2 linked regions of the Oryctolagus cuniculus genome follow. The protein of the gene in region 2 interacts with the protein of the main gene of each other region in a pairwise test. Links are inferred from orthologs where the notes say so. Each region holds a gene or a part of one and is shown on either strand. Other genes may lie near its edges.

Evidence for each region. The genes of interacting proteins can lie anywhere in the genome.
Region 1: the proteins of RINT1 (region 2) and CCDC121 interact in binary tests that used the Homo sapiens proteins (3 or more experiments, as listed by UniProt). The two-hybrid records come from large-scale screens. The link is inferred for Oryctolagus cuniculus from reciprocal best matches to the Homo sapiens genes RINT1 and CCDC121.

Annotation. Positions count from the first base shown.
Region 1 is NC_091433.1:175,379,043-175,383,178, forward strand, and holds the start of CCDC121 (coiled-coil domain-containing protein 121), read left to right. Parts: upstream 1-1,329; 5' UTR 1,330-1,519; coding exon 1,520-1,857; intron 1,858-2,452; coding exon 2,453-3,395; 3' UTR 3,396-4,136. Other genes in the region: GPN1 (GPN-loop GTPase 1), read right to left, coding at 411-504, 1,158-1,268.
Region 2 is NC_091434.1:138,792,339-138,795,898, reverse strand, and holds part of RINT1 (RAD50-interacting protein 1), read left to right. Parts: intron 1-672; coding exon 673-887; intron 888-3,560. UniProt on the Homo sapiens protein: Involved in regulation of membrane traffic between the Golgi and the endoplasmic reticulum (ER); the function is proposed to depend on its association in the NRZ complex which is believed to play a role in SNARE assembly at the ER.

The sequences.
Region 1 (4,136 bases), on a different chromosome or scaffold from region 2:
ATAAAAAGCTTGGGGGTGGGGGACACAGGCACTGTGGGGCAGCAGGTAAGGGACTGTGCTACATATGGAAGTACCCCCCATATGGAAGGGCCTGGGATCAAGTCCCACCTCTACCTCCAATCCAGTTTCCTGCTAATGAGCAACCTAAAAGGTAGCAGATGATGGCTCAAGCACTTAGGTCCCCGCCACCACATGGGAGGCCAGCATGGAGTTCCTGGCTCCTAGCTTTAGCCTGGGCGTTAGATAAAGGCCAGTGTTTAAAAAGGAGAATGTTTTATAAAGAAGCCTGTTTAGGGACTGAAGAACATCCAAGAGAGATAAAAGTACGAAGTTCAGAAAATAAAAAAAGTCCCTGAAGACTGGCAGGCTGGAGGCGTTCCCCTCTCTGCGTTAGGGCACAGTGTACTCACCAATGTTGGCAGGAAAGGGGACTTCGTGCACAGCCGGGTCCAGATTGATCACATAGGGCGGGGAACCTTGGCTGTGCAAGTGCCCAGTGAGCCGCTGCAGACAGGAAGATGGGAGGGGGAGGGAGAGGAGGAGGGGGTGATCAGGAAGGGCATTTCCACTCCTTCACCCACCGCCCTCCAGCCACCCGAAATATCCACCCTGCTTCCAACATCAAATCTCGGCTCAAACGCTACTTTTCCTTATCACTCACCTGACAGAGCCTCCCCTACTCTTGCCCACTTATTAACTTGTATTGCAAACCCATATGGCGAGTATCTTTCTATCTCCTCCATGAAAGTAAAAACCTTGTCAACCGCATTTTCTCCGTATCCCCCATGCCTGGAACATGAGAGGGGCCCCAGAAATAACTTTTTTCGCAAATCTTCACCGAAACCCAATGGGTTAACACCGAATCTATCTACTCCATGCCTTGTGAGTCTGCCTTCGAGAGGCTGGCAACTTCCCCAGCAAACAGTTCCAACACAACGTGGTAAGTCGAACCAAGTGTGCACAGAAGAGGGCTTCAATGAACACAGGCGCGGGTCCGCTATGCCTCAGCCCACGAAGCAGCCGGAGTTCGGTGAAGTCCCTGAAAACCACGCGCCGGTGTCCTCCAACTCCCCACGGACTTCCGTCGCTTTCTCCCTGGCCTTCTGCCCGCCACCACCTCTCGCGCTGCCCTACCCCGCCCGCGCAGTGTGCGTCACCTGGACAAAGGTGGTTTTCCCGGATCCCGCCATCCCCAACACCAAGAGGCACACGGGGGGCCGAGGACCCCCGGACGCCTGGGGCTCCGCCGCAGCCGCGAGCGCCGCCATCTTTGCTCAGGCCCCGCCCCTCACCACAGAGGCGCGGCGTGGCTAGAGAGGCCTCCGCGACGTTCTAGATTGGGCGGAGAATAGAGTCGAACGCCGCCGAGAGGCGCCGGCCAGCGGGTGCCGAGTTTCTGCTGCGGGCGGGCTAGTGACGCCGGGAGAGAAGTGAGGGGAGCAGAGAAGCGAGAGGAGAGGGCTAGCGGAGCCGAAAAAGGAGCACTGCCCGTCGCTGGCTCCTCGGAGCGGGAGACGAGATGGGCTCCCAAGGGCCGAACCCCCACCACACGAAAAAGAGGGGCGTACGTCTCATTTTGGGGTCCCAAAGAGCTAGGACCGAAGACGCTGGTCTGCCGCCTGCTAGAGCTTGTTTGGCACCCGAGGAGATTAAACAGCTCAGGGCTGGGCTGACCGGGGCGGGGGCTAAATGGGACGCTTGGGGGTGCTGGGCAGCGCGGAGACCCGTCGAGCCGCAGACTGAGCAGCTGCAAGACCTTTCCGCCTTCACGACCCCCGACGTCAGCGCGCGCTCCTCGGCGACCACCCTCCGAGAACTGCGCAGCTACCGCTGTCAACAGCTGGATTCCAGGAGCAAGTGAGTGCGGCCACGGAAAGAGGATGAAGGAGCCCGAGAAGTATCCCCGCTCCCCATCACCGTCCCGCGTCCGACGATCTGGGTTTCATACCCAGGCGCTGCCACTGGTCAGCCGTCTGGTTTCTTGTTCTTTAAAACGGACACTACGCCGCGGGGTTGCAGGGAATGCCTATTGCAAATTGTCGGCGGTACCCCCAGCATCTTCAACCCTGGTTGTATTTCCCGTGGCTTGCAGAGTGTTTGGAACGTAGTAGGTCTCCAAAATACTTGTTGAGCTGCCACTTGGGACACCAGCATTCCGTATCTGAATGCCTGGGATCAAGTTCCAACTCCACGTCCAGTCTAGCTTCCTGCAATGCGCCTGGGAGGCAGCAGTTGGTGGCCCAGATACTTGGGTCCCTGCCACCCACGTGGGAGATGCGGATGGAGCCCCAGCTGTGGCAGGTATTTGGGAAGTGAACCAGCAGATGGGAAATCTGCCTTTCAAATAAGTAAATAGTCGCTGTATTAATTAAGGACAATTGTGCATCTTTTATGATTGCTTAAATTTGCATTAAGAACTGACAGAGGCACGTCTCATGGGCTCTCCCTTCAGGTTTGCCGAAGGTCCCAGGAGTTCCCCTCCGTCGTACCTCAGTCTAATAAATAATCTGCTCCAGCCCCAGAAGCTAACAAGTGCGGAGATGCGCATCAGAAGAAGAATGGCGAAGGTGCGAGAGCTGGACACGCAGATTAAAGCAGCCCGAGCCCAGCAGCAGCTGTTACTGGAGGACACCAGGCAGCTGCACGAGGAGGAGCTACACTTCCAGGCGGAAAACAGGTTCTTTCTGGAGTACCTGACCAAGAAAACGGAAGAGCTGGCGAAGGAGCCCGTGAAGCTGTGGACGGAGTACATACAGGAAAGTCGAGAGATTAAAAGGGGGAGACAGAAGTTAGCCGCCAGATATGCCAAGAAGTCTGCAGTGCTTAAAGCAGAGCTCATGCAGAAGAAAAAGATACAAGCCGATTTGAAGCAGCAGCTGCAGGATCTGAGAGACATTTCGCTGTTAAAGGAGAAACAGGACATACAAATCCAGAAATTACAGGAGGAGAAAAACAAGATCGAAGCGCAGATCGCCGCCGAGAAACACGCCCAGTTCCTCAAGGAAAAGGCCCTGCTGGAGGAGCAGCTGAATGAGCCAGACGTGAGGCACTTGGGAAAGCAAGAAAGGAGGGCGCTCAGGGAGAAGACGCAGGCCCTGAGGTCGGCAGCAAAGCAGGCTGAGGTGAAGTTCTGCCACGGCATCCAGGCAGAGAACCAGCGGCTACGCAAGGAATGCTGGCAGCTAATGCGGCAATCCCAGAAATTAGAGGCTACTCAAAGCCAGTTAAGGAGCCAGAAGCAGCAGCTGGAGCAGGAACAGTGGCTTGTGCAGAGCATGCTCCGTGGGAGGCAACGGCTGCAAGAAAGACGCCATGGGTGCCCTAAAGGACAGGGTGTCCCCCAGGCACCACCGAGGCCTCCCCTGGGCGCCGCATCAACGATAAACCCCCCGTAGTTCCTCAAATACGTACCCAGCAAACCTGTTAGGAAAGGCTTTTGAATTCCAGATTGTAGTAAAATACCATACGTGTTGGTACAAAAGACTAGGTGCAGTCATGTAAGGTGACCGGCTTCCTTTAAGCAGTATTTTAAAAAACTACCTTATGTTGATAAACACAATTTTCAGACTTCCAGTTAACCTAATACCTGATAGCCCAACCTGTTTCACCATCTCCGAAACACCCCATACATCCAGCAAGTTCAGAAACACCCACTTGGGGTGTGTGATTTCATCTAGCCAAGTTAAGATTTCTTTATAGAGAAAATACCTTTAAGGACAGCATTTCACTGAATAGAGCTTTCTGCTGTATAAATAACACGGATCAGTTTACTTGTATTCCTTTTGGCCAAATCAGCAGACAAGGATGAAGTGTTTCTAAGTTCTTTTTTAAGTGTAGGCCAGTGGGTGGGTAGCTTCTTTTACAGATTCCTCGCCAGTTGAAAAAGTACTCTGATAACAGCAAGCCCACTAAGTGCTAGGTTGAATGACCTTTGAAATCTGATGATGAACCCCTACAAAAATTTCAGCTTTGAATACATTAAGGGGGTAAGAGGATTTGAATGGTGACATTTATTAAGTTGCCTCTTTTTTGTGAAATGTTCTTTGAAGAAACACTTTTAGCATTAAAGAAGTGATTGAATGCCTGTTTCAGGAAAACCTATCAAAAAAGTTTTAAAATATTTGGACTTAAGAATC
Region 2 (3,560 bases):
ATGGTACTACAAACGTTAACATGGATAGAGAAATTTGAATGCTCATATATAGCCTGTGAGGATATAAGGTTGTGCAGCTGCAATGGAAAACAGTCTAGCAGCTCCTCCAACATATGATCCAGCAGTTCTGCTCCGAGGTATATATCAAGAGAAATGAAAACATGTCCACATAAGAACTTGTAATAAATATTCATAGCAGCATTCATTTTTTATAGTAGACAAAAAGTAGAACTAACCCTAATGTCTCTAAGCTGTTGATTGGATAAAGAGTGGTATTTCCATGTAAAGGAATATTATTTGACAATAAGAAGTTAAGTACTACATGATAAAATGTGGACAGATCCTGAAAATATACTAAGTGAAAGAAGCCAATCACAAAGAACCACATGTTGTAGAATTCCATTTACATAAATGCCTAGAATAGCCAAATCCATAGAGACAGAAAGTAGATTAGTGACTGCCTGGGACTGGGGGGACTGGGGCTGAAAGATAAGTCTTTTGGGGGAGGGTAATGACAGTGTTCTAAACTTATGGTGACAGATACACAGCTCTGAATATACTAAAAGCCACTGAGTTGTGCACTTTAAATGGTGAATTGTATGTCATATGAATTCTGTTTCAAGCTGTTAAAAAAGAATGCTACTAAACCTGCTAACATGTTTTTGCTTTCAGTTCTTTCTACAACTGCAACAGGCAGCATTGGAAGTCTTTGCAGAGAATAATACTCTTAGTAAACTGCAGCTGGGACAGCTTGCCTCTATGGAGAGCTCTGTCTTTGATGATATGATTAACCTCTTAGAGCGCCTGAAGCATGACATGCTGACCCGTCAGGTAGACCATGTTTTTAGAGAAGTTAAAGATGCTGCAAAATTGTATAAAAAAGAAAGGTATGTCCTCTATGTAAATTAACTTTTAATACCAGCTTGGTAAAGCTAAGATAGTAGGTTCATGAAGTCAGATTCCCAGGGTTTCTAGATAAAGCAGCATTGGGCCTTCTGTACTCCAGACTTGAACTGTGTCTCATGGACATCTTTGTGAAATATTCTTTGGGACATTCTTAATAAGAATAAACTGATCATAATTTAGTCTTCAACTGTTGGTAAAGAAAGCTGTTGTGGCCGGCGCCGTGGCTCACTAGGCTAATCCTCCGCCTTGCGGCACCGGCACACCGGGTTCTAGTCCCAGTCGGGGTGCCGGATTCTGTCCCAGTTGCCCCTCTTCCAGGCCAGCTCTCTGCTGTGGCCAGGGAGTGCAGTGGAGGATGGCCCAAGTGCTTGGGCCCTGCACCCCATGGGAGACCAGGATAAGTACCTGGCTCCTGCCATCGGATCAGCACTGTGCGCCAGCTGCAACGGCCATTGGAGGGTGAACCAACGGCAAAGGAAGACCTTTCTCTCTGTCTCTCTCTCTCTCACTGTCTACTCTGCCTGTCAAAAAAAAAGAAAAAAAAAAAAAAAAAGCTGTTGTATGACCTGGGGTTGAATAGCTTAGCCTGTCACTCATTTTATAAAATAAGGTGCTTTATGGCGGTGTTTGGCCTGGGAGTTAGGTGCTCCTTGGGATGCCAGCATCGCATACCGTGCCTATACCCAGCTCTGGCTCTTGACTCCAGCTTCCTGCCTGTGCAGATTGTGGAGGCAGCTATGACAAATCAAGTGGTTGGATTCCCAGCTCTGGCTTCAGCCCCAGCTGAGAGGCATTGCAGGCCTTCGGGAAATGAGCCAGCGGATGGGAGTTAGCTGTCTTTGCCTCTCAAATAGTTTGAAAAATTAAGAAAAAGTTGACAGTGCCAGGTATCAGTTCCTAATGAATGCAAATCTTTACTTAAGCAATGGAATAGTAACAACAGTTATGTAAGTTAGACTGTTTAAATAAAATGGCATTTGTTGATTCCACATGGTAAAGAAAGTATCCTGATAGTATTATGTTAATTGCTAATTTTTAATAAGAAAAATACAGCCTTACAAGGTTTCTGTTAGAAAGTTTCTATTTATACACCCTACATGAATCTGATTTGGATAGGTGATGAACAAAAGGAAGTAGGGTAGACAATACATGTCAGGATAGTGAATAGTTATAATATGTCTTTGGTATCAAGAAACTGCTGTGTTGTACTATAATGTTTTTATGTTCGTTGAAAGCAATTTTCTTTGATAAACAATGAGAGTTTTTTTTATTTGGATCAGAAATGATGAGTTTTCCTAAAGTTAGTGGAAAATGCATATTATGGAAAAAAAAGAAAAGACTATTCATGGATTTCAATGTTCCTCCTCCAAAATAAACTTAGTTTTGAACTCCTTTAAAAAAAAAGTTTAATTTTTACAAATTATAATACCTTGTTCATGCTTGCATTGTACAATTTATTCCACTATCATAATTCCCATGGACACCTTTGGTACCCCCAAGAATGAGACATGCTTGAGAGCAGGCAATGTGTGTTTATCCTAGCACAGCCAGAGTACAAATGCTCCCCCAGTTATGATGAGGTTACATCCCGATAAGCCCATTCTAAGTTGGAAATACTAAGTTGGAAATAAGTTAAAAATGCATTTAATATACTTATCCTACTAAACATCATAGCTTAGCAACACAGTACACAGTAGAGTATCTGTTATATACCCTCCTGATGGCAGCTGTCACTGTCTAGTGTTATGCTACTCTCATTGGGAAGATTAGATTCAAAGTGTGCTTTTACTGAATCCACACTGCTTTCACATCATTATAAAATTGCAAAATTCTAAGTCAAACTATGTTTTTAAAAAGATTTATTTATTAGAAAGGCAGAGTTAGAGAGAGGGGGAGAGAGAGAGAACTTCCTTCTGCTGGCTCACTCCCCAAATGACCACACAACTGGGGCTGGGCCAGGCTGAAGCCAGGAGCCTAGAGCTTCACCCAGGTCACCCACATGAGTGGGAAGGGGCCCAAGTACCTGGGCTGTCTTCCACTGCCTTCTCAGACACGTTAGCAGGGGGGTGGATCACAATTGGAGCAACTTGGATTCAAACTGGTACTCATGTAGTGTTGCAAGCAGCAGCCTAACTCACTGCCCCACAACACTGGCCCCTAAAGGTCAACCATTTAAGTCAGGACCTCTGTATGTATGGTCATTTCAGAGGTGTTACTAGTCCTCATTGCTTTTACTGAAAATCAGAGTATAAAAGTAGTTATGTCTTAAAATATACATTTAAAATTTTAAATTTTATATCAAGTCATTAAAATATGGGCATTTTCTAGGAACACTTATCCTCACTAAATAAAAGGAAATTTAATTGAGAGTTAAAATATAAATAGAAGTACATATGTTTTCCGATAGAGCATTTAATGTTGGACTTATTTTCTTTTAAAGATTTATTTATTTATTTGAAAGGCAGACTACACAGAGAGAAAGGAGAGGCAGAGAAAGAGAGAGGTTTTCCATCTGCTGGTTCACTCCCCAATTGGCCTCAACAGCCAGAGCTGTGCCAATCCAAAGCCAGGAGCCAGGAGCTTCTTTCAGGACTCCCATGCTTTCTACCGCTTTCCCAGGCCATAGCAGAGGGCTGGCAGCTGGGACTTGAACC